3 linked regions of the Kluyveromyces lactis genome follow. The protein of the gene in region 1 purifies or fractionates together with the protein of each later gene. This does not show direct contact. Links are inferred from orthologs where the notes say so. Each region holds a gene or a part of one and is shown on either strand. Other genes may lie near its edges.

Region 1 (8,206 bases):
CCCTGAAAGTTGACTTTACTGATAGCAGGTTCCATTTTGCCACCTCCCAACGCAGATTGTAGAACTCTTTTTGCTTGTTCTTCTTGCTCCACCTCATCCTTCTCTTCAGATTCTTTCTTAGCTTCTAACTGTTTAGATTTATCCATATATGACTTACACCTTGCCAATTCGGCCATGATAGGTGACAGGTCTTTGATATTGAGGACTTTCATGTATGAAAAGCATAGTGAACTCAATACATATGCGTATTTGTTTGAAAGATCAAGTTTCTTCTTTTCATCTTGCAGAAGCAACAGTTGTTCGTCCAATGACTTGCTCGTTAGTTTGTTAATCTCACCACTGAGTTGTTCCACCTGTTTATTGAGATACGAGATGTATGGTTTAATTTTCTTAGTATCTTCCATGCTGGTAGTTGTATGTGGTCCGTGTTCTTGTCGTTGTCGACTGAGGCAGCGATGAGATGAGATGAGATGAGATGAGATGAAGCTGTATAATACCGAGATGAAGTATTCTTCACTGAATCAAAATTTTCGATCAATAACATAATACTGCGAATTTTTCGCAATGGAACAAAACGCATAATAATCTGCGTGCGTTTCGCACGTAGAAGTACTTCAGTAATATTTCTATTTCTTTATCCAGCGAAAATTCCATATTTGCCTGCCAAAAAAAAAAAAAAAAACGCAAGACATTACACACATTCATACCACATATATGGAGAACCTGTACTCAATACAGGGCGAGTAGTCCTATTTGGACTGTTGAAGTAACATCCACCCTCCGCCAGTATACTTAATTTCAACACTGGCCTAGCTCAAGAAGTACTTTAGTTTGTTTCTCGTCAGCATAGATAATGGTCGCTGATGACTTATCGAATATAGAGACACAGCTACGACAGGTTCGTGAGAAATATCGTGAGCAAGCACACTCGCTCTCGCCAAGCGATGCAGAATCATGGTCAACCTTGGCATCAAATTTGCAGAAAGTCGTCACAGAAATGGATCAGCTTTTGCAGCGGAACTCTAAACAGATGAACGTATCCTTCCTATTGAACCACGAGTCATCATCGCTTCAGGCTGGAATACAGCCACCGCAACCGCTTCTACAGAACCTATACCAAAAGAACGGGAACGACGAACAGCAGAACCATCTCAAAGTCAAACTCGATAGAACTGCGTTCTATTCGGAAAATTCCCCCTTCCAACATCAAATGGATCGGTCTGGTTCATTCAGACTCTGTCCACCTTTAGCACATACAAGTGCAGAAGATTACTTCCGCAACGATACGCAAACCCCAATTATGATCTCAGATGGCCAGATCCTGGAGAACTTGGCCAATCTTAAACGTCTCACTGAGATGCAACGCCAATAGGTGGATGTAATCTTCGTTTTCGTTTGAGATTCGACACATCACATATATGATCCATCTTTTATTTGAGTCATGCGAACGTTTTTGACCAATTATACACATATACACATATAATATGTATAGTAAAAGATAAAGCTGTAATGATACACTATAAAATATCTGTTGGCACCAGTTGCAGAACCATAGAGGTTCAATACCCAACGCAATTCTATCTCTTTGGTATATGTTTTCTCTTAAATCTGTCGAATTTGTCGCTCTTTGAGGGGGAAACAAAATTCGAAAAACATTAAAATAACTAACTAGCAAGTAAACATCAACATCAATAAAGTATCAAGACAAACAACGACACTAGGAAAGCTCTACACGCAATCTGACAACGGCTGTAGTGGAAAATCAATAGAAGAATTACATTGCTCTAAGTTATAAGTTATTTTTTTACCCCTCATCATGACTGGGAATCGATCTCTGGTTCAGAGACACAGAAAGAAGTTCGTTGTTTCTAGTGTTTTGTTTGCTACGCTATTTGCTACATGCGCTATTACGGTCTATTTCAGTAAAAGATGGTTGTACAAGCAGCATTTGAAAATGACGGAGCAACGATTTGTCAAGGAACAGATCAAACGGAGGTTTGTACAAACTCAGCAGGACTCGTTGTACACTCTTTATGAATTGATGCCGGTAATGACGTTAGTGTTGGCTAAGGATTTCGATCTTGATTCTATTGTAGAGGCTCTAAAGGGGAAAAAGTTACAGAAGAAGCTTTCCAAAGGTGAAATAGCTGGGAATGAGTTGGAAAATGAGGGCTTAAGTTCAGGAATGAGTGCGATGACGCCTGCACCCAGTGTGTCAGCGAAATCTCCGCAATCTGCAGATACCACTAGCGTTTCTGAAACGTCTACGAAATCCAAGGCCGAGCTTTGGGACGATTTGAAACTCAAAGCTATCACCAAGATCATTATCTTGTCCTATACCACATCATTATTGATGCTTTTAACCCGATTGCAATTGAATATATTGGCAAGAAGAGAGTATTTGGATACTGCCATCAATTCTGCCATGGAAAAGGAAAGGGAAAAGAAGGCTAATCAATACTCAGTCTTATCTTGGTTCTCTAGTTGGATCACTGAAAAGAGCAACAATTTACCCAGTGAAAAAGCTGACCCAAGAAACAGCGATGGTACTATTGACACGGACACAAGGAGCATTGCATCCACTGCGAACCCTGAAAAATCGAGATACGTTAACGAACAAGCTTTCTTATCCTTATCGTGGTGGTTATTAAACCGTGGATACCTACAATACAAGAGTATCATTGAACAATTGGTGAAAGAAGAGTTCCAAAATTCGAACCCAAGAGATATCATGACAATGGATGAGTTCAGTGGCAAGATAAGCAAGATATTCGTCACCACAAACAAGCAATTCTTTCAACAGCCACAATCGAATGAAATGTTCATTTCATGTCTACTTCCTGAACCTAACTTAGAGAGATTTGTTCTTCAACAAACTTTAGAACAAGATGCTTTGAAAGTACTATACGAGGATAATCTATTACTAAAACAACTTGTACAAGAGACCAACAAATGCCTACAATCACCTGGAACATGGATTGTCCTGGAGTCTTTAATCGATGAAACATTCCACACAATCATGGAACAAATCGAGGATAATGTCAACAGCAAATCGAAACCTAAATCGAATGATGACGACACCAAAGTAGTCGATATATCCAAAAATTCATATCAAATCGCATTATTCTCTATCGCCACGAAAGACTGCACAAACGAAATGTTGAAAGCGGGACTCGTATCAATGAACAACAAGTTCCTACAGAAACTACACTCCATCTCGGCACTTGACGATCTCAGTGCATGCGTATATAGTAACTTCGGTCTATGAAAACCTTACTTGGCCCTCCATTCAAGTACTGAAATCGCTCCATACCGTGTATGTAGATAGTTCTATAGTTAACGTTACTCTTTCACTGGCACTACGGGGTTTCTCTTCCTGTTTCTTTAATGGCCACGTGATCATAATTTTCTTTTCCTTAAGGTCAAATAACGAAAAGAATCGAATTCCCAACAGGTTGTCAATCAACATGTTATACATCTCAGTTAATGTTTGCAAGTGGATAGGAGCTTGGTGTTTGTAGTTAGTTAGCACCATAGAGTTACCAAGTGGGTTCTATTTAGTACCAGAAAATCATGTCCAAGGAAAACCAGAACGTTGTTTTAGTGAGTGTTGAGGGAGAGAGATTTGTCGTTGACAGGAAGATCGCTGAACGCTCACTTTTACTAAAGAACTACTTGCAAGATCTTAACAGTGGCGATTTGCATGATGATAACGATGCTGACGATGACGAAGATGATGAAGAGGATGGTGACGATGAAATAGTGATGCCCGTGCCCAATGTGAGGTCGTCAGTATTACAGAAAGTGATCGAATGGGCCGTTCATCACAAGGATTCCAATTTCCCCGATGAAGATGACGACGATTCGAGGAAAGCTGCGCCTGTGGATCCATGGGACCGTGAGTTCTTGAAAGTGGACCAAGAAATGTTATATGAGATTATTCTAGCAGCTAACTATCTAAATATCAAGCCATTGTTGGATGCTGGATGTAAAGTTGTTGCGGAGATGATTAGGGGCAGAACACCTGAAGAAATCAGAAGGACCTTCAATATCGTTAACGATTTCACTCCAGAGGAAGAAGCTGCCATAAGACGTGAAAACGAATGGGCAGAAGACCGTTAAACTTACAAGTTTTCTTGTTGTTTTCTCTTTCTGTATCTACATCCTCTTCAGTTTAAAATAGCAATTTCCCTCATTTCCCGTATGTAATCAATAATTTAAGTACTTGCTTGTTAAGCGGATCTTAATTGAAGTAGTGAATTTGAGTCATGGGCAAACGCAGGGATCGCTTTCATATCGCATTTATAGCTTCAAGGTCTGTCTCTGCACCGATAATTTTTCATTTTTGTACCTATATATAATATTTAAAGAACGCGCTACCTTAAATTGAAACTTTTTGCTTCTGGTTTTATCTATTCAAGGCAGAACTGCATCGATAGATGCACCATAGGACCCTTGTTACTGGTATACTTGGTGTAGGATTGTGATGACGTTGACCATTGGTGAGGAGACCAAATCCAGACTAAGATCGCTAAGCGGGAATACTAGTTCGTTGCTAAATTTAAACAAACGCAAGAAGAAGAACAAGGAAAAGAAAAAGGATAAGGACAAGAGTCAACCAAAGTCTCAGGGCAATACACGTGTGCTACGGTCTACGAGTCTGAAACCCAATGTCAATGATGATGCATCTGCATTATCGTCGAATTCGAGCTATGATAAGGTGTATTTGATGGATGGGAGTGACCATAAAGCAGGATCTGCGAATCATGCCTCTGATAAGAACAATGTTTCAAGCACGGGTTCAGGTATCCAAAGCATCAAGATTCGTAGTAGCAGACAGTCTGGCGAAAAGTCAAGATCGAGGTCGCTGAGGATTTCTACATCATTGTCGAGGCTTCCGAGAAAGAATTCATTAAATGCAGGAAATGATACGTCTTCCACTGAGGGTTTCAATCAAACTGCAATGACAAGGGAAGAGAACACTGATCCATTGGGTTCGAGGTTACGGGTAAGCGATAGCAAGGCTTCTCTATCTGACGTACCATCAACGACTCTGTTCACCAAATTCAAGTCTTCGAAAAGTGATAGTGCGACTCCCGTAAAGAGTAAGCCAGACGAATCTGATTCCGGCCTCTTTTCATCGCTAATATCGGCTGCACATAACGCTGCTAACCATTTGATACCCAAAAGTTCACTGAAGAGTAGTAGCAGCCTTTACGATGAACCGTCCAATGGAGATAGAACTCAGTTGCTGACTTCTGGTATTGGTGGTACAGATACAAGTAATGATCCATACAACCATACAGGCTCATTTCTGAATCATTTAGACTTCCTTCTTGCTCCCAGCTCGAATAATGATTATTTACTGAAGAAGGCGACGACACTAGACACCCTTAATACCAGCGACTCCTCTACATCTTCCATTTCTCAACAAATGACTAATCCGTCTTCTACCGTGCCGTTATACGATGATAGCGATCAAGATGGTAATAACAGTGATGATATTGGTTCTGTGGGAACTTTCATGGATAAAGTCAAATTTACATCAGTAAAGCAAGATAATGCCCCCCCAATTTCGACCTTTGGGAGGGGAAATCTAACTTTAGATGCCATTGAAAAGGACAAAGATGATCTCAAGTCCACCGGCTTTCATACACCAAGTGTGCTGATTACCACAGACCAACCAGATCGACCGGTATCGTCTCCGTCCCCACTCTCAATGCCTAATGATGATGCAAATACGGACAGCAATACAAATTCTGCCAGTCCTTCATTCGAAAAAACTAGGCCGAGGAACGGTAGGTCAAGACGCCCCGAAGTGTTGAGAGATTTAACTATGAGATCATTGTCGCCTGCTGCAGCTACGAAATTATTTACAGCACCCCTAAGAAATTCATTTTCGGGCAGAAACATGACAAGAGCGAGTAGCATATCCAAGACCAGTGATATTGTTCAACCACCTGGAGGACCAACACGCCTGTCAACTTCGGACATTCCAATAAAGAGAAAAACTGAAGAACCAGAACTTCAAGGCATTGAATATGCAAGTGCTAAGCGTAATACAGATTTCCATACAATCTTTAAAGACACCGTAGTATCTCCAATTGAAAGATTAATAGCGGATTACAGTTGTGCTTTATCAAAAGATATTCTCATTCAAGGTAGGTTATACATATCTGATAGACACATTTGCTTTTACTCGAATATTTTGGGATGGATGAAGACTGTTGTAGTTCCATTCAAAGAGATAGTTCAGATCGAACAAAAGAACACTGCCGTATTATTTCCTAATGCCATATCGATACAAACCTTACATGACAAGTTCCTGTTTGCATCTTTCATATCAAGGGACAGTACATTTGATCAAATTATGGATATATGGAATCAAACAATAATCAATAAAAACTTCAAGCCTAAACGAGGTACTATGGGATCTGCCGATCTGATGAATGATGAGAATCTGACTCTTGATAGTGAAGCTTCAAGCATGGATTACGATGATGAGGATGTTCAGACTAACGACCGGACTTCCACATCTATCACTGATTCCTATGGTAACCGTGATGAAAGTGATTCGTACGATGACGACGATACCGATGACATAAATCCAGATGATATGACAAGTAGCTCTGAGGAAAGCACAAATAGCGTGTCTGACGAGGCAAGACCCTCAGGACTTTCCAAAAGTTCAAATTCTCAAAGCTCAGCACAGTTGGGTCCTTCGAAACATGAGCCGACTACTCCCGACTACACGCCAAAAGAAAATGAACGAGAAATGGGGGAGACCATTTTGAACGCCCCTCTTGGTACAGTGATAAATATACTCTATGGCTCAGATGTCCAATACTTTGATCGAATATTAAAAGCTCAAGGCAACTATGATATCTCCAAATTTAATGAAATAATCCAATCCAAAAAAAGAGAATACGTGTACACTAAACCAATTTCCGGTAGTATAGGTCCAAGTAAAACTCGCTGTGAGATTACTGAATCAATCGACAAGTTAGATCTCAAAAATTACGTGCAGGTCACACAAGTCTCGAAAACTCCCGATATACCTTCGGGTAATTCCTTCGTTGTTAAAACAATATTCTTATTCTGTTGGGCTGATGACAATTCAACCAAGGTGAAAGTGTATACTTACGTGGACTGGTCTGCTAAGAGTTGGATCAAAGCGGCTGTTGAAAAGGGAACCTTTGACGGAATAAAATCTTCTACGAAAATTCTTTTCGAGGAACTTGAAGACATCATCGAGGAAAACAAAGGTAAGAGCAGCTCCCCAGATAACAGAAAGGATATTGAAGAGGTTTTATCTTCACTACCATGTTTGGGACCTAAGGAACACGAACCAACCGAATGCACTTTTGAAAAATCAAGCGGCTATGAAATTATTGACGATAAAATAAGTTTCAAGTCTCCTGTTGGTACCATCTTCCAATTAATATGCGGAGATGATACCTCATACATGAAGAGAATATTGGAAAGGCAAAAGAATATTGAAATATCTGATATCCCACCATTTCAGAATAAGACTAGAAAGTACACATACGTCAAGCCGCTACCAGGATCAATTGGTCCAAAGCAAGCAAAGTGTTACATCGAAGAGAAGATTGAATCTGATGATGTTAACACGTGTATGGTACTTGAACAAATATCAAAGACACCAGAAATCCCATCTGGTAATTCATTCGAAGTGCATACCAAATTCTACTTCTCCTGGGGAGAAAAAAACACCACCAATGTCTTAGCAGCAACGAACATTGAATGGACTGGGAAAAGTTGGATCAAATCGGCTATACAAAAAGGATCTATAAACGGACAGAAAGCTAGCGTTCAGGATATGGTAGCTGAAATAAAAGACATTCTTTCTTCTGCGTCGTCAACAACGAAAAGAAGACCAACGATATCTAGAAGGAAAACTGAAAGATCCAGGTCAAAGAGGAAAACCATATCAAAGTCAAGGGAACAACCAGAAGTACAGAATGGCGGATTATATGCAACTGTCCAAGAAATATATGGTATTGTTAAGGATCTAGTTGCTGACTTACCTCCTATTATTCTTGCTGCTGCTGCTGTAGTGCTGCTTATACTAATCATATTTGTCCCTAGACTCTGTTCGAGTTTATTCCACAGAAGCCCATCGCCTCATTTCGTTAGTCCCAGTACAATTGTTATGGACGGGGAGGAGTACTATGTTCTGCCTGCC
Region 2 (6,798 bases), on another chromosome or scaffold:
ACCCCGCTGAAATCGCATTAAATGGTCCTCGTGATAATGTTAAATTGGCCAAGGTTAAGGTGATCAACTATTTGAACGAATTGGGTCTAAAGATCGTGGTGAAAAAGGAAAAGGTCCCATTCAAATTCCATCCTTTGGTAAAGCCTTCAGAATTGAATGAGAAGTTCCACGTCGAAGTACAAGCTCCAAGTATTTCCGGCGATGATCAATTCGTTTTCATCGGAAGCTCTGACAACGTCAATGAGGCCATCGTGTACGCTAAGAACTCATCTAAATTCCATACCGTGGAATCATTGGAAATTTCAAAAGCTCATGGTAAAAACGTTAAACATGCTAAGAACTTGATTCTATACTTCCAAAAATATAACGTCTTAGATCAAATTACCGAAGACTTCCCACAAGTGCAAGTAGTTTTACCTAAAGTGGAAAGTATTCCAGCATTGGAATCCGTCAGTATTACCTTAATTTCAAACAACGATGCCGCAGACGCTATCAAGACCGTTCGTAAACAAATTGTAGCTTTGGTTAATGAATTATCTCCAGAACAAACGTTAACTATTTCAGATTTGGATTATCATCTATTCCACAAGGACATCAAGCAAATCTTGGTCTCGACTGAAAGTGATGTCCCATTCATTCAATTGGGTGACTGTTTCCCAGGTAATGACGATATCTTACTAATCACCAAGATCAATGAAGATGATTTCAAGCCATCTGATGATGAACTAAAAGTTAAGCTGGAATCGGTCAACCAACAATTGGAACCAATCAGAAAGAAGCAAAGCCTTTTAGCATCCAATGTTGTTTCCCTTGCCAAAAAAGAACAGGATGAACTACTCGGAGAATCAAAAGTCACTTTGAACTTGATCAATGAAGCTGTTTCTCATGCTGGCGCTCATGCTTTAATCAAGTTGAGCACCCCTTCAGTCAACCAAATTACTATCAGAGGTGATGACCATGGATGTAAGATTGCTTCCGCTGCTGTCAAGTCCATCGTCGAGAATTCATCAACAGAATCCAAGATCACATTCCAAGTTCCAACCAATGTAGTTTCGAGATTGATTGGTCCAAAGGGTGCTAACTTACAACAAATTCGTGAAAAGTTTGACGTTCAAACTTTCATCCCACAAGATTCTAAGGATGAGAATACCGATGTTACATTGACCGGTTTGCAATACAATCTTGACCAAGCGAAAACATATATTCTAGCAGAAGCTAAAAAATGGTCCGATATTATCACTAAGGAATTAATCGTCCCTATGAAGTACCACCGTACATTAAGTGGACCTCAAGGCACTTATCGTATCCGTTTGGAGAACAAGTACTCCGTTTTCATCAGATTTCCTAAGGACAGTGAGTTAGTCACCATCAGAGGTCCATCTCGTGGTGTCAAAGCCGCTTATGATGAACTGAAGGCTCTTTTGGACTTCGAAATTGAAAATGGCCATAAAGAGCTTCTCAAAGTTCCAGTCGACTATGTTACTAGAGTCATAGGTAAAAGTGGTGAAACTATCAACGATATTAAGGCAGAGTATGGTGTTGAGTTAAACTTTTTGGACAAAACCGACAGTGAAAAGGCTAAGGAAGCTGGTGAAGTCGAGTTGGAAATCACTGGTTCTAGATCTAGCATCAAAGAAGCTGCAAACAAAGTCAAATCTATCATTGATCAAGCATCAAATTTTGAGACAGTTACTCTGGAAGATATCGACTCTAAGTATTATAGCGATATCATCGGTCGTAGTGGCTCCCAATTGAAAGAAATTATCAGCAAAGCTGGTGGTGATGAGATTAGAAACAAGAGAGTCAATATCCCTGATGCCTCTTCTGAAGACAAGGTTATCACTATCTTCGGACCATCTGACTTTGTGAAGAAGGTTGTCAAACAAATTAAGGGAGTTGTTTCTGGCTTAGAAAACAGCATTACCGAGGAGCTAAATATTCCACAAGAGAAGTTTGGTGCCTTGATTGGTCCAGCTGGATCAGTAAGACGTGAATTGGAGACAGAATTCAAAGTAAGAATTCATGTTCCAAACAAGAACAGCTCAGATGAAAAGGTCACTGTTTCTGGTTCTCCTGCTAATATTGAATCTTGCAAGAAGAAAATCGAAAAAGAAATCATCAGGGATAGTTTCGACTTGGAAATTGCTGTCCCTGCCAAATACCATTCATACGTTTCTAACTCTGGTTTGATTTTCCAAACGTTAAGAAACGAATTTTCTATTGATGTTTCTCATGGTAACTTGACTAGAACCGCACAAAGTTTATCTCGTGCGAACTACAAGGTTCCTGAAAATGTCGCTGGTGGTGAAAATGAAAGCTCCAACGTCCTCATTCAATCTGTCACAGAAACTGAAGCTAAGGTTGACACAATCCCATGGAGATTAACATACTCACCAATTGACTTGAGTGATGTTTTAGGTGAAGACTATAAGAAAGATGAAGAAAGCAAAGATCAAGTCTTAGAAAAAGCGTCCAAATTGATAGAAGACAGAATCGCCGAGGCTAAACTTGTTAACACCGAAGGTTTCGTTTGGTCCAAGGATGCAAAGAAGTTTAACTCTATTGTTGGACCAAACGGTAGAAATATCAGAGAAATCAGAAATGCCACTAAAACTGTTATCCATGTTCCAAGAAAAAGCGATAAGGTTAACAATGTTATATATGTCCTAGGCTCTGAAGAAGGTGTGAAAAAGGCAGCTGAATTGATCTGCAAGAGATTAAAATAGTTTTAATGTTTTCACTTTGTCCGTTCCTTTGATCCAATTCTTGTATTTATTTCCTCTATTGGTGTTCAACGCTGCACAGATTAGCACTACATAAGCTTACATTAATACCACATAATTAATCATGTATACTGAATACACTTAAAACCTATATCAAAAAATGTAAACAAAACTATTTCTTCAAAATCCTCGGTTGTTCCTCAATGTTAAAGATTTATACGGGCTAGCGTGTGTTTCATGGTTATACGTAAACGTATATATATATTTATTGTGGCCTGAAGATCTATATGCAGGCATACGAATAAAGCCGTCTTCATGAGCAACAAGACTGTGAATCATTTGTACTTGGTCTTTGCAATGATATATTATTATTATTAGGTTTCTTCGATTCCTGTATCTTATCTTTGTTCTGCAAATATAATCTTTCACCAATATCTTGGAAGACTTTGATTACGTTTTCTCCAGTCTTAGCACTGACCTGGTGGAACAACAAATTATTCTCTTGTGCAAACTCGCGTGCGTCCGCTTCATCGACTAAAGAGGTCGATTCCCTTTCAGATACTAGATCCAACTTATTCCCCACAAGACAGATGATCAACTTATCGTCATTTACCTTTTCTTTCAATTCATCAACCCAAAGCTTGGCCTTAGGCAAAGAATCTGGTTCAGTGACATCGTACACAACTAAAGCGGCATTTGCATTACGATAGTACATAGGTGCCAAAGATTTATAGCGTTCCTGACCGGCCGTATCCCAAATTTCAAACTTCAAAACTTGTTCATCATACTCTTCAGATAATTTAATAGTTTGTGAAAGAAAAGCTGCACCTATAGTCGATTCCCTGTACTCATCAAACGAGTCTTTGACGAATCTATGAACAATACTGGATTTTCCAACAGAAGAATCTCCCAACAATACTAATTTGAACTGAAGCATAATTTATGGGAAGTAAATTGCGATATTTTAGAAAGAATCAGCAGTATAGGAAACCTGGGGTTGATATTGGTGAATGCTCGAAACAAAATGTCCAATACGACTTCTACCCGCGGTTACTCGTTCCAGTTTCTCTACTTTTTTATCTTTTTATCTGGAAGGGATGAAACCTGTTGATTCTGAATTTAAAGGTTTCAATGACTGAAAGCCTTTAAGTTGGATAATACGAATTGTCGATCACGTGATTGGTAATTTGAGGGGAGTTCGTGACGTTTAAAACAATGACAAGAGGCTGATTTGGTTGATAAATATAGTTGGGGTGTGTATTGATTAAATAGAATAGAATAAATAGTAGCTAACATTAATCGAATAGAAGTGAAATGAAGTGAAGTGAAGTGAAGTGAAGTGAAGTGAAGTGAAATGAAGTGAAAGAAGTATCGTGCGCATGCTTATTATCTCATTCAGTAGACATCTTAACAAAGCCCAGCTCGTTAAGCCTTTGGATAGCGGCCCCGATCTTCTCTGCTTCCAAGAGTTGTTCTTCCTCGGGCCAATTATCAGCCTCGGAATCCTGCTCAGCGATAGAAGTCATTGAAGAGTTGGAATTAACAGTTGATGCTGCAGTGGTGGTGTTTGCCGATGGCGTGGGTAGTCCGGAGTAGGTGATGTAATCATGCGATATGGAAGAACACACTGAAGATTCACGAGAAACTGGAGGCAAAGGCTCCAATCTGTGAGTTTCCCTGTTGTGTCTAAGATGTAAAAGATTTAATATCGAAGTAGTAGTGTTCGAGATATTATTGATTGGTGATTCGATCAACTTAATGAAAGAGGAGTTGACGAAGGGGCAATGGAATGAGTTATGTGGCGAGACAAAACAGGTTCTGATATCTTGCCTTAGTTGAGGAGAAGAGTACCCTATCAAAAGCTCCAAGATGTTGAGGATCTGAGGTAATCTATGTTCTTGTAGGGGGCAATACAATTCCTCTGAAGCTTGTAGCAACCAGTCGTTGAACTTGTCCTCGAAAATGCATAAGAATCTATTGACAGTGGTTCTTTCGACGGACAGGTTATGAGTATGTAGCAATAGGTAAAGGGATCCAAATTGGATCAAACAATCTTGAAATCCAGCCACGGAGTTGTATGGTTTTCCACTAAGTTCGGTGAAGAGAGACCAATATACTCGAGAATTGGCAGAGAGATACCCGTAGTTGAAACACAAAGCGTACCAGTATTTACCCAATTCTGTAAGAATTGAAATGCGTTTTGGATCCATAGTCAAGGAAGTGACCATCGTTTGGAAACTCTGTGGAGCCAACATTCTGTTAAAAATTTGATGATGTTTCTGGTCCGAGTCATCTAGATCTGAACCCTGGCCATCATGAGCCAAAGTTGGTTTACAATGTGCCAATAAGAACATTATTCTCCATCTGGGTAAATCGAAAGGATTTTCAAAGAGGCTGGTCTCGACACATTTTATAAGAGTTGCGTTAAGATTTGCATCAGTTCGTATAGAACACGAATGTAGCAAAATATTAGCCACAATAATGGCTAACGTTTCACTTTGAGAAGAATCCGGCTGCACATGGTAGAACCAGTGCAGAATCTTTTGGAAACTAGAGTGATAGACCGAACTATCTACCCTAGACAACTGAAGCAACCGTTGGCATTGGTCTGCTGTAAGTTCCAAACCAGAACATGTATTCACATATGAGTTCATCGTTTGAAGCACGTTAGTCGAGTTAATTTCAAGAATACTACCACTAACAGTCGCCACCAAACCCAACCTGAATTAACTATCAACCTTAAAACCCAACCTTATATATATACTTAAATACATGCGTCCACATAATATCAATTGCCTCTTATATCGGCCGGTGACTAAGAAAACAAATCTTTATCCAAATCATTTGTCACTTGTTGTTACCGGTTCGAATGGACAAAATTCTTTCAAAATCCATCTCTCCAAACAATGAATGGAAACTTCGGAACTTCATCTTATTGGACGTCCTTGGATTTGCCATTAGAGATATAAAGGGATTCCAACGGACATCCATAAGGAATCCACACGGCATCTTCTGGACGGTGACTACATTTGGTAACTAGTTCCAACACAAGAAATAAGGATCCGGGAAAACCGTAACTATGCAAACTTGTCAGCGAACGGTATCTAGCACTGACCCATTGCTCGACATTGTTATGTGCAACGGAAGTGCAAAGTTGATCATGTCAGCATTTAAAAAATTCTCTTTCTGTTTGCAGTAACTAGCCTTTGGCAGCATCATTGTTTCCTTCTAAAGTTTAAGAGGACCCCAAAGGAAATAAGAAGGAAAATTCGAAGGAAAATTCCGTCGCTTACGTTTCGTAGAAATAAAGTGAATGGCGGAACGAAGTACAACACCATTTTGGGAATTGCCACAGTCCGACACAGAAGTTTTCGTGGTGTTAAAATCCGCATCAGTTCTTTTTCTTTTTCTTCGTTTGGTTTTGATTCCTAAAGATTGACTTTTCCATTGGGAATATCCTGCGCCCCGTTTGTCGGAACCGTACACCTGAAATAGGCAAGCGGAAAAAAAGTATACTAGTGGGGAATGTATAATTGGAGAAGTAGGGAGGAAAAAGATCACATTTGCGATCGGGTTTGCTGGATGTTCTGCTGCTGAAGGTTTTTTATACTGGTTTAGGAATTGAGTTCCGGTTGGACGGAATTTGACTGGTGTAATATTCCTTGGGTTGCCCGGATAATGCGGGATATTTTTTAAGTGGGCAATAACGGTCATTGGCGGCCTCTGATTGGGGCGGGGGAGGGGCAGAAGCGAAGGGTGGGTTTTACTCGAGCTGGACAAGTAGTATATGTTTAGGGATGGAGGTGAAGGAATCAAAGTATACAGGTCACATGAACACAATTTATTCACGTGACTGAATGTTGGCTTCCTTCAAGTTTGATTATAGTTCCTTTTTTTCGTTTTTGGTAATTGTTACCCGGACAAATAAGTCCGGGTAAATAGTCAGTAGGTTACATACCATCCTTTGCAAGTCTTTATGTGCTTTTTTTTTTTCACTCAAGCAAATTCATCCAGACATATTAGCTACGATTCAATCGTTACTATGTTGCCTCGAATGATTGTTGAATAAACCTAT
Region 3 (7,463 bases), on another chromosome or scaffold:
GAACATAATGCCGAGATACAATTGAATTTTCACGAACAAATGATACTAGATAATATCAATCAGATGAAGCCAAATCCAATTGTGCTTACATTTCAATTTGAACCCACTTATACTGGCGGAAAACGTGTTAAGAAACAAATTACGGATGAACAGATCGCCAGATATGAAGGCTTTATTCCATCAAAACAGAAATATAATAAAAAACCCAAATTTGTGCAGGCTGAAAGAGGTGGCCAAGTGACGTTTCATGGTCCAGGGCAAATAGTCGCATACATCATTCTCGATTTAAAGACATTTCAGAACTTGCCGGCCAAATGCTTAGTTTCAACTATTGATAACGCGGCCATGAACGCATTAAAAGTAGTTCCAAAATTCCAAGGATCAGATGAACCATTGAATTTAATTACCCAAAAAACCAATGATACCGGCGTTTGGGTCTCTAATCAAGAAAAAATTGCCAGTATTGGCATACATGTCAGAAGATCTGTCACCTCACATGGTATTTGTATTAACGTTGACCCAGACTTGTCTTATATGAACAGTTTTACCATGTGCGGGCTGTCAGAAAAAAAAGCCACTTCCATAAGAGAACAAGTCCCTGATAGTTCTACCTCTGTTAATGATGTAGCAGTTGCATTCGTGAATCAATTAGCTAAACTTTTGGGCATTACCACAGTAGAGAGAATTCAACTTGATGATTTACCCATTTACACTGATTAGACGCATCACCCGTAGTCTGCAAGAAATGCTTAGATTAATTTTTACTTTAAGAATGATATTTATGATTAGTTTTACTTTGTTGCATATTTAAACACAGCAGCCAAAGCCCCTGCCGAGATAGAACTTAATAAAAGCAAGTTGGTTGTAGTACTGGGTAATTTACTACCTGTTGATACAGCTGGTAATTGTGCAGTACCATCGTCTTTCGTCTTTACCGGTTTTGACTTTGCTTGTTGTAATTGGGTATTTTTAAATATTTCGACCTCAAGACGTGTCTGTAATTCATCAACTTCACTTTTTAGCTGTTTGATCTTAGTATTTTTCAAGTCATTATTTTCCTTTAGGGAGTCATTAAGCTTCTTATTTTCTTGTTTTAATGCCTGTATTTCTTCATTATGGATGGTGGTTAGTTCTGCCTGTTGATTCGCAAGCTTCTGTTTAACGCTTTTCTGAAGTTTGACTAGTTGTGAGTCCGCTTGCTCCATTTTCATCTTTGATAGATATTCAAGCTTTGTAATATAATTAACGATGAAATTGTCAATCGATTTCAACTTTTCATATTCCAACTTTTCAAGTGTTAGATCTGTCACTAAGGTCTTGATGATATTAATCAAATTCGGACTTGTTCCGATAGAATTGTTTATAAATATTCCACTCAATATTTCCGTTTCAGACCCCAATACAGCATCTTCGAGGTCAAGATTATTTACATCTCCGAACATGGCGGCTTCGAACGCAGCTTTTTGAGCAGTTGTTATCGTGACCATTGGGTCTGGAATCCCATTGTTTGCAGGTGTACTCCTGAAATCTCGTTTATTTGATACTAGTAGTTTATCGTTTTCGCCAATCAACGGTATCACTGAAATGTCCTCCACTAATGCACTTATTTTACGATGTTCAAGCTTTGTGTCTATATCCGTCCCTAAATCTATCACATCCCCCACTTTGATTTCAACATCAGTTTGACCGATCCTACTACCATTCACGAAAGTACCATTAGATGATTTCAGATCACGTATACATATTTTACCAGTTTTAGCATCACACGATAACGATGCATGGTTTCTTGAAAGCACTCTAGAATCAAAATTTCCATTATCAGCTTTCACCTGTGGATCAGCTTTGCCGGAAAGTCCTCCGTTACTTCCAGAATTTGAAGCTCCAATGACAGGTCGTCCCAATTTTAGTCCACTGGGCTTGAATGGAACTACTAAGAATTTAGTCTCAAATGTGTTGTTCAACGATTTTAGAACCAAAACATGTGTGTATTTGTTTCTGGCCTGTGTTCTCTCATCTTCAGCGGAAGTCAGTTTATTAAGAGCGTCATTACTTGAATTCAAACAGTTGTCATTCGAAGAACCGTTGCTGCTTGAGTTGGAACGAGCTCTTCTTCCTTTTGTTTTTGATGTGCTTGTGTTATCGTTACTCTGGTTTGCTGAAAGAGGATCCAATCGACTTCCTTGTTTCTCAGTCATATTCACTGCTTATAAGAACCCAATTAAACCATATGCAAAAAAAGGTAGTGCAAAGTGCAAGTTCTTATTCGGCTTCTGATTCACTTCAATGGAGAGACTGCCTCGTAGCAAATACTGCTGAAGCTGCTTTACCACTTCTGTGAAGATAATACTAAAATCATGAAACTGAGAAAAGAATGGACTTAATTTCAATCACAATTATTTTAATTCACCACATAGAAAAGAGGTAAACAAACATTACGCAACATACACATGAAAACACAACACTTCACATAGATCGGCAGGATTGTAATTGGATAACGCACTGTGATAATTTGGCATTGTTATTTGAGCTGATTTGACACAATGGAAGAGGTACTTTCGGAGGGTGTAGATGCTTTAGCAGCATGTGTCGATGACATGGCGAAATGTTTAACCGTATCTAAGGTCACTACAGATAGAAGCACTAAACTTGCTATAAATATGCTACAAACTAAGAGGGTATTCCAGTTGGTATCAGAATATGATGTGCAGAGGGCCAGACTTGATTTGATGGAGGATATAGAACCATTGTTACAAAAACTATATAGTAAACTGGAAAAAGCTCTAACCAAATTGGAAAGGGAGCGGGCCACTCTATCACAAACATTCGAATTGAATAAACTACGATTCAACAATCAAGAAAGTAACCCCATCATAGATAATGTGAAATCGGATCCAGTTGTAATAGTATCCTCGACACATGAAGAATTGGAACGTCTCAAAGACTTAAAGAATCGTAAAGAAGAACTGATACAAAGAATACAGGAATTGCATGAAGAGAGATAAATAAGCATACGCCGACTCTCTATCTATCGCATTGTTAACTTAAATTTTGAATATTTACAAAGTGATTGCTGATTTTGTTTTCAAGCCCGTTCAACTTTGCACTGACACTAATCAATGTAGGATCGCTGGTGGTAATTGAAACTTTCTCGCATTCAGTGACAACTCGCCCGTTAAATGTCACACACCTAGCCAATAGATCGCTTGCTTGCGGAAGAGTGATTCTTTCAGTTGCTGAAAAACTGGATATCAAATTGTTTATCATAGATGTTTGTTCAACTTGCAAGCCTTCTTCCTTAAGGATCTCTGCGATTTTTCCATTTCTGTCTTGCTTCAGCCTGTCTCTGACTTTATCACTGAATGATAACCCAGTTTTCGAATCGATCTCACTCCAGGGTTTTTTAATGACTTTTGTCAAATTCCTAATGTCCAAGCAAATCTCGTTTTTGAATAGCACTAATTCCATATTGACCAAATGATGTGCTGATTCACAAATGTCATGAGATTCAGAGAAGTTGTCGTTTAAGAAGCTGTTGTTATTATGCGGAAAGACCAATTCTCGTGGAGGATTTTGTAATAATGTAATAGATTGTGTAAGTAACTCCAATATTTTCCCAATTTTATTGTGAAAAGTATGAATATCATCAAGTTTCATATCGTGTAATTCGGAAAGTTGCTGTAATTCGTCAAATAAGGACAATACGGATGATAAATTTGTAATTATGGCATTTATTTGAACTAAGGGAAATTGTTTATCAAGGTCCATCTTTAGAACTATTGGTTTACCCCTGCTAAAGTCTGGAAGCTTAATGATAGCCTGAAAATCCACTATAAATCCGGCCTGTCTAGTGATTGTCCCTTTAATCGATGTGCTGTCTGGCGCGGCACCTGATGTGTTAACGGAGACACTATTCCCATTGGTAAGAGGCATTCGAAATTTCTCAGGACTAGATAGTTGGTTTATGCATTTCTCAACATGGTCCATAACGTTAGGTAGCTCAGGCTTTATGATTTCTTTAATCAACCATGTCTGTTGTAACAAAGAGCTCTCCTCATATGTAGGAGCATTTTTATATGCCCCATCATTATATAATTCCGTAGTCATCTCGGATTTATGCAATTGAGAATTAATGTAGCAAAGCTCCCTTAGCGTGTAGATAGCAAGAGCCTTGCTAAGATGGGCGTTTTCCTTTGTCAACCTTTTTACTATTCTTTTGCCTTTTTCGTATGATGATTCTTCTGAATATTTCAAATTTAAACCTTTTCTTGAAGTTGATGCGACTCACCCACATATACTTTAACTAGAGATAAAGGAAGATCATTGAAAATTGTAAAGTGGTTGTAATTGAAATTGCTGGCGTGGATTAGGATCAAGGTTTACACAGATTCTAGATTTGACTCAATTGACGAGTTGTACTCCGGGACACAGCTTTTTATTATTAGGGAAAGTGTGCTATTAAACGCATCAGACGACGACCGCAAATGTTTACTGTAAGTAAGAAATCCTTACAAGCAAGTCGTAACGCTTTCAGTCCATTGAATAATAGCAAGAGAACAATCGTATTTACTGCAATAGCAGCTTTTGGAGACCTATTGATTGGGAAAGATGTTAGACTAGCAGATGCTATGGAGAAAGGGAATCTGCATAATAAAAATGGAGAGTATGAGCATAAGATGGAACAAAGGACTCAAGAAAGGTTAAATGCATTACGAAACACAAGACCGATAGAACCTAATTATGAGGGTCATGTTCCACTTTGGTGGTATGAGCGAATGATGCTCTTCGGTATCAGTGGTTTAAAATCTTATTTCCACCCGGAGAACGGTGAGAACATCGTTCAATTAGGAGAAGCTACTGCTCTACCTTGCTTTCTTGAAAGTTTAAAACGGACAATGTTGTTAGATAAGACTGGTAGAAGGATTCTACAAGACAGACCAAACATCACATCGGAAAGCCTTGACATGGAACGATTGTCAAAGATGGATAAAAATTCAGTTGGCTATACGTACTACAAATGGTTGATGAAAGAGGGGGTCTCTCCAGACACAAGGGCACCAGTTACTTATATCGATGATCCTGTCCATGCTTTCATATTTAAGAGATATAGACAATGCCATGACTTTTATCATGCAATAAATGACCTACCAATCATAATCGAAGGTGAGATTGCAGTTAAAGCATTTGAGGCATCAAACATTGGTGTCCCAATGGCTGCACTTGGTGCTCTATTAGCACCATTGAGATTAAAGAAAGTGCAAAAGGAAAGACTTTACTCCATCTACCTCCCATGGGCAGTCAAAGCAGGGCTGAATTGCAAACCTCTCATCAATGTCTATTGGGAAGAAATCTTGGATAAGGACATAGACGAACTAAGAAGAGAATTAAACGTCACACCACCTCCAGATTTGAGAAAAATTAGAAAGGAAAGAGCGAAACAAAGAAAACAGTTCAAGCTTAAGTATGAGACCTACGAGAAATGAATTTTAAACCCTCAATCCCCAAATCGTGATGGCTGGCGTAAAGTTGCTTTGTAAAGTATAATGCAGGGTCATTCTGTGGATATAGGAACCAGGAAAAAAGAAATAGAAATACGTACGTAATGAAATAAACGTCTTCAATTGAAGAGGAAAAAGATCGCCTTTGCTTGATCGATTAAAAAATATATCTATAGCTAACATCCTTGCTACGTACAGTACCACTGCCTACACTTTTATTTGCTAACGCGGTATGTTAAACAATTATGATCGAACTTCAGTACGATGTCCTCTTTCCCTCGGTGTGCTTTGCAGCCTTAAAACTGTTCTTTTTTCTTATCACTGCGTTTAGCGGCCAAGAAGAAGAAAAAAAAGAACAAAGTTAAAAACTATCCAATTTAAGACTTCTGACCAGGGCATCTCATCTCACCCCATAATAAAAGAGAAGCAGTGTCTTGTGAGGGTTTTAAGCGGAAGGGGAGGATAATCTGATATTGAACATACAAGAATCTGTTACTTCAAAGCTCTTATAGCGCTTGTGTTTAATCCTCTTTGTCCTTTTTTTTTAACTGGAAGAAGTCACTGACGCTTTCGACGAAGTGTAAACATTCAAGTTTTCTTTCGGACTCACTCGGTTGTTAACGCATTGCAACTTTTGCTTACAAGACTTTGAACCTATTTTGTCAGGTCACAATTAGCAGAAAGAGCTTACGAGATCTTGCCATTTATTAGGGCTTCGATCAGCATAATATAAGATATGTCTGAATCTAACAATATGCATGTTTCTGGGGATGGTGCCAAACAGTCGGTATACACTGAGAAGAAACGCGTGAAAGTCTATGTGTTGGAAAATAACGAGTGGAAGGATACTGGGACAGGGTTTTGTCAGGGGACAGTGGAAGAGCGTACTATAGATGACACTCAGACTGCAGAGAAAATGGCGTATCTTTTGGTGGTCGATGAAGACTCCGATGACCAGGTCTTACTTAAGTCCAGGCTCGAACAAAACATCGAATACCAGCGTCAAGAGGAAACTCTTATTGTCTGGAAGGATCTGAATGGTCAGGATATAGCTTTATCCTTTGAAGAAAGCATTGGATGCGATTCTTTATGTGAATATATTTGCTTTGTACAGAAAAACATTGAAAGCCGCATCTCTTTGGTAGCTGTAAGATCGACAGATGATGGAATCGGGTCTGTTCATGAGATAATAACAGGACCGGTCAATCTTCCCTCAAATGTACCAAACCAGACAGAAGAATCCCTTTTAGAAGCATTGAAAATTCTAAACGAAAACACGTCATTTGATTATCTGCGAAATGAGACAATTCAATTTGTTATCAACGATCACTATTTAGCAACACTAATCAGATCATTCTATCAGTCAGAAGAATCTAAACTATATCGAAATTTATTATTATTGAGCAACATTGTGAAAACTCTAATATTGTTCAACAGCAAGGAGATTTTGGAAGAGATGATCAATGATGAAAACTTTTTATGCGTTTGCGGTATATTGGAATATGATACTGAATTTCCAAACTCAAAACTTAACCATAGACAATATTTGAAAGATAAGGAGCCAAATTTCAAGGAAATGATTCCCATCTCAGATCCAACGATCAAATTAATGATTACGCAAAATTTTAGGCTTCAATTTTTGAAAGATGTGGTTCTAGTTAGATTTTTGGATGATCAATCTTTCACCTTCATATCTGACCTAATGTTGTCATACCAGAATTCCATAATAGATTTCCTACAGGAGGATAGCAACAATTTTATTAATCAAGTCATCTCGATGTATAAAGTTGAGGAGGATTCAACCGTCACCCCAGATAAAAGAAGGGACGGTATAAAACTATTACATGAATGCATCCAACTTTCCCAAAACCTAAATTCAATAGAAAAAACCCTTTTCTACAAATTTTTAATCAAGAAAGGGTTGTTCCAAGTCATCCAATTTGCATTCAACATGGAAACTAATAACGA

Evidence for each region. Proteins that work in one complex are often made in the same cells at the same time.
Region 2: the proteins of SKP1 (region 1) and YPT52 purify together in Saccharomyces cerevisiae (affinity purification with mass spectrometry; 4 studies listed by BioGRID, with this or other methods). This does not show direct contact. The link is inferred for Kluyveromyces lactis from reciprocal best matches to the Saccharomyces cerevisiae genes SKP1 and YPT52.
Region 3: the proteins of SKP1 (region 1) and RAV2 purify together in Saccharomyces cerevisiae (affinity purification with mass spectrometry; 4 studies listed by BioGRID, with this or other methods). This does not show direct contact. The link is inferred for Kluyveromyces lactis from reciprocal best matches to the Saccharomyces cerevisiae genes SKP1 and RAV2.

Annotation. Positions count from the first base shown.
Region 1 is NC_006041.1:1,503,801-1,512,006, reverse strand, and holds SKP1 (SCF ubiquitin ligase subunit SKP1), read left to right. Parts: upstream 1-3,573; coding exon 3,574-4,122; downstream 4,123-8,206. Other genes in the region: LRP1 (Lrp1p), read right to left, coding at 1-404; KLLA0_E16985g (uncharacterized protein), read left to right, coding at 854-1,372; PEX3 (Pex3p), read left to right, coding at 1,817-3,268; YSP2 (Ysp2p), read left to right, coding at 4,487-8,206.
Region 2 is NC_006040.1:198,374-205,171, reverse strand, and holds YPT52 (Rab family GTPase YPT52), read right to left. Parts: upstream 3,661-6,798; coding exon 3,037-3,660; downstream 1-3,036. Other genes in the region: SCP160 (Scp160p), read left to right, coding at 1-2,726; KLLA0_D02354g (uncharacterized protein), read right to left, coding at 4,115-5,377; KLLA0_D02332g (uncharacterized protein), read right to left, coding at 5,952-6,437. UniProt on the Saccharomyces cerevisiae protein: Required for transport in the endocytic pathway and for correct sorting of the vacuolar hydrolases suggesting a possible intersection of the endocytic with the vacuolar sorting pathway.
Region 3 is NC_006040.1:1,583,853-1,591,315, forward strand, and holds RAV2 (Rav2p), read right to left. Parts: upstream 4,105-7,463; coding exon 3,037-4,104; downstream 1-3,036. Other genes in the region: lipoyl(octanoyl) transferase LIP2, read left to right, coding at 1-720; KLLA0_D18799g (uncharacterized protein), read right to left, coding at 792-2,195; SPC19 (Spc19p), read left to right, coding at 2,541-3,002; ubiquinone biosynthesis protein COQ4, read left to right, coding at 4,482-5,480; PSY2 (Psy2p), read left to right, coding at 6,232-7,463. UniProt on the Saccharomyces cerevisiae protein: Component of the RAVE complex, which is required for stable assembly of the vacuolar ATPase complex V-ATPase under many conditions. May be required for transport between the early endosome and the late endosome/prevacuolar compartment (PVC).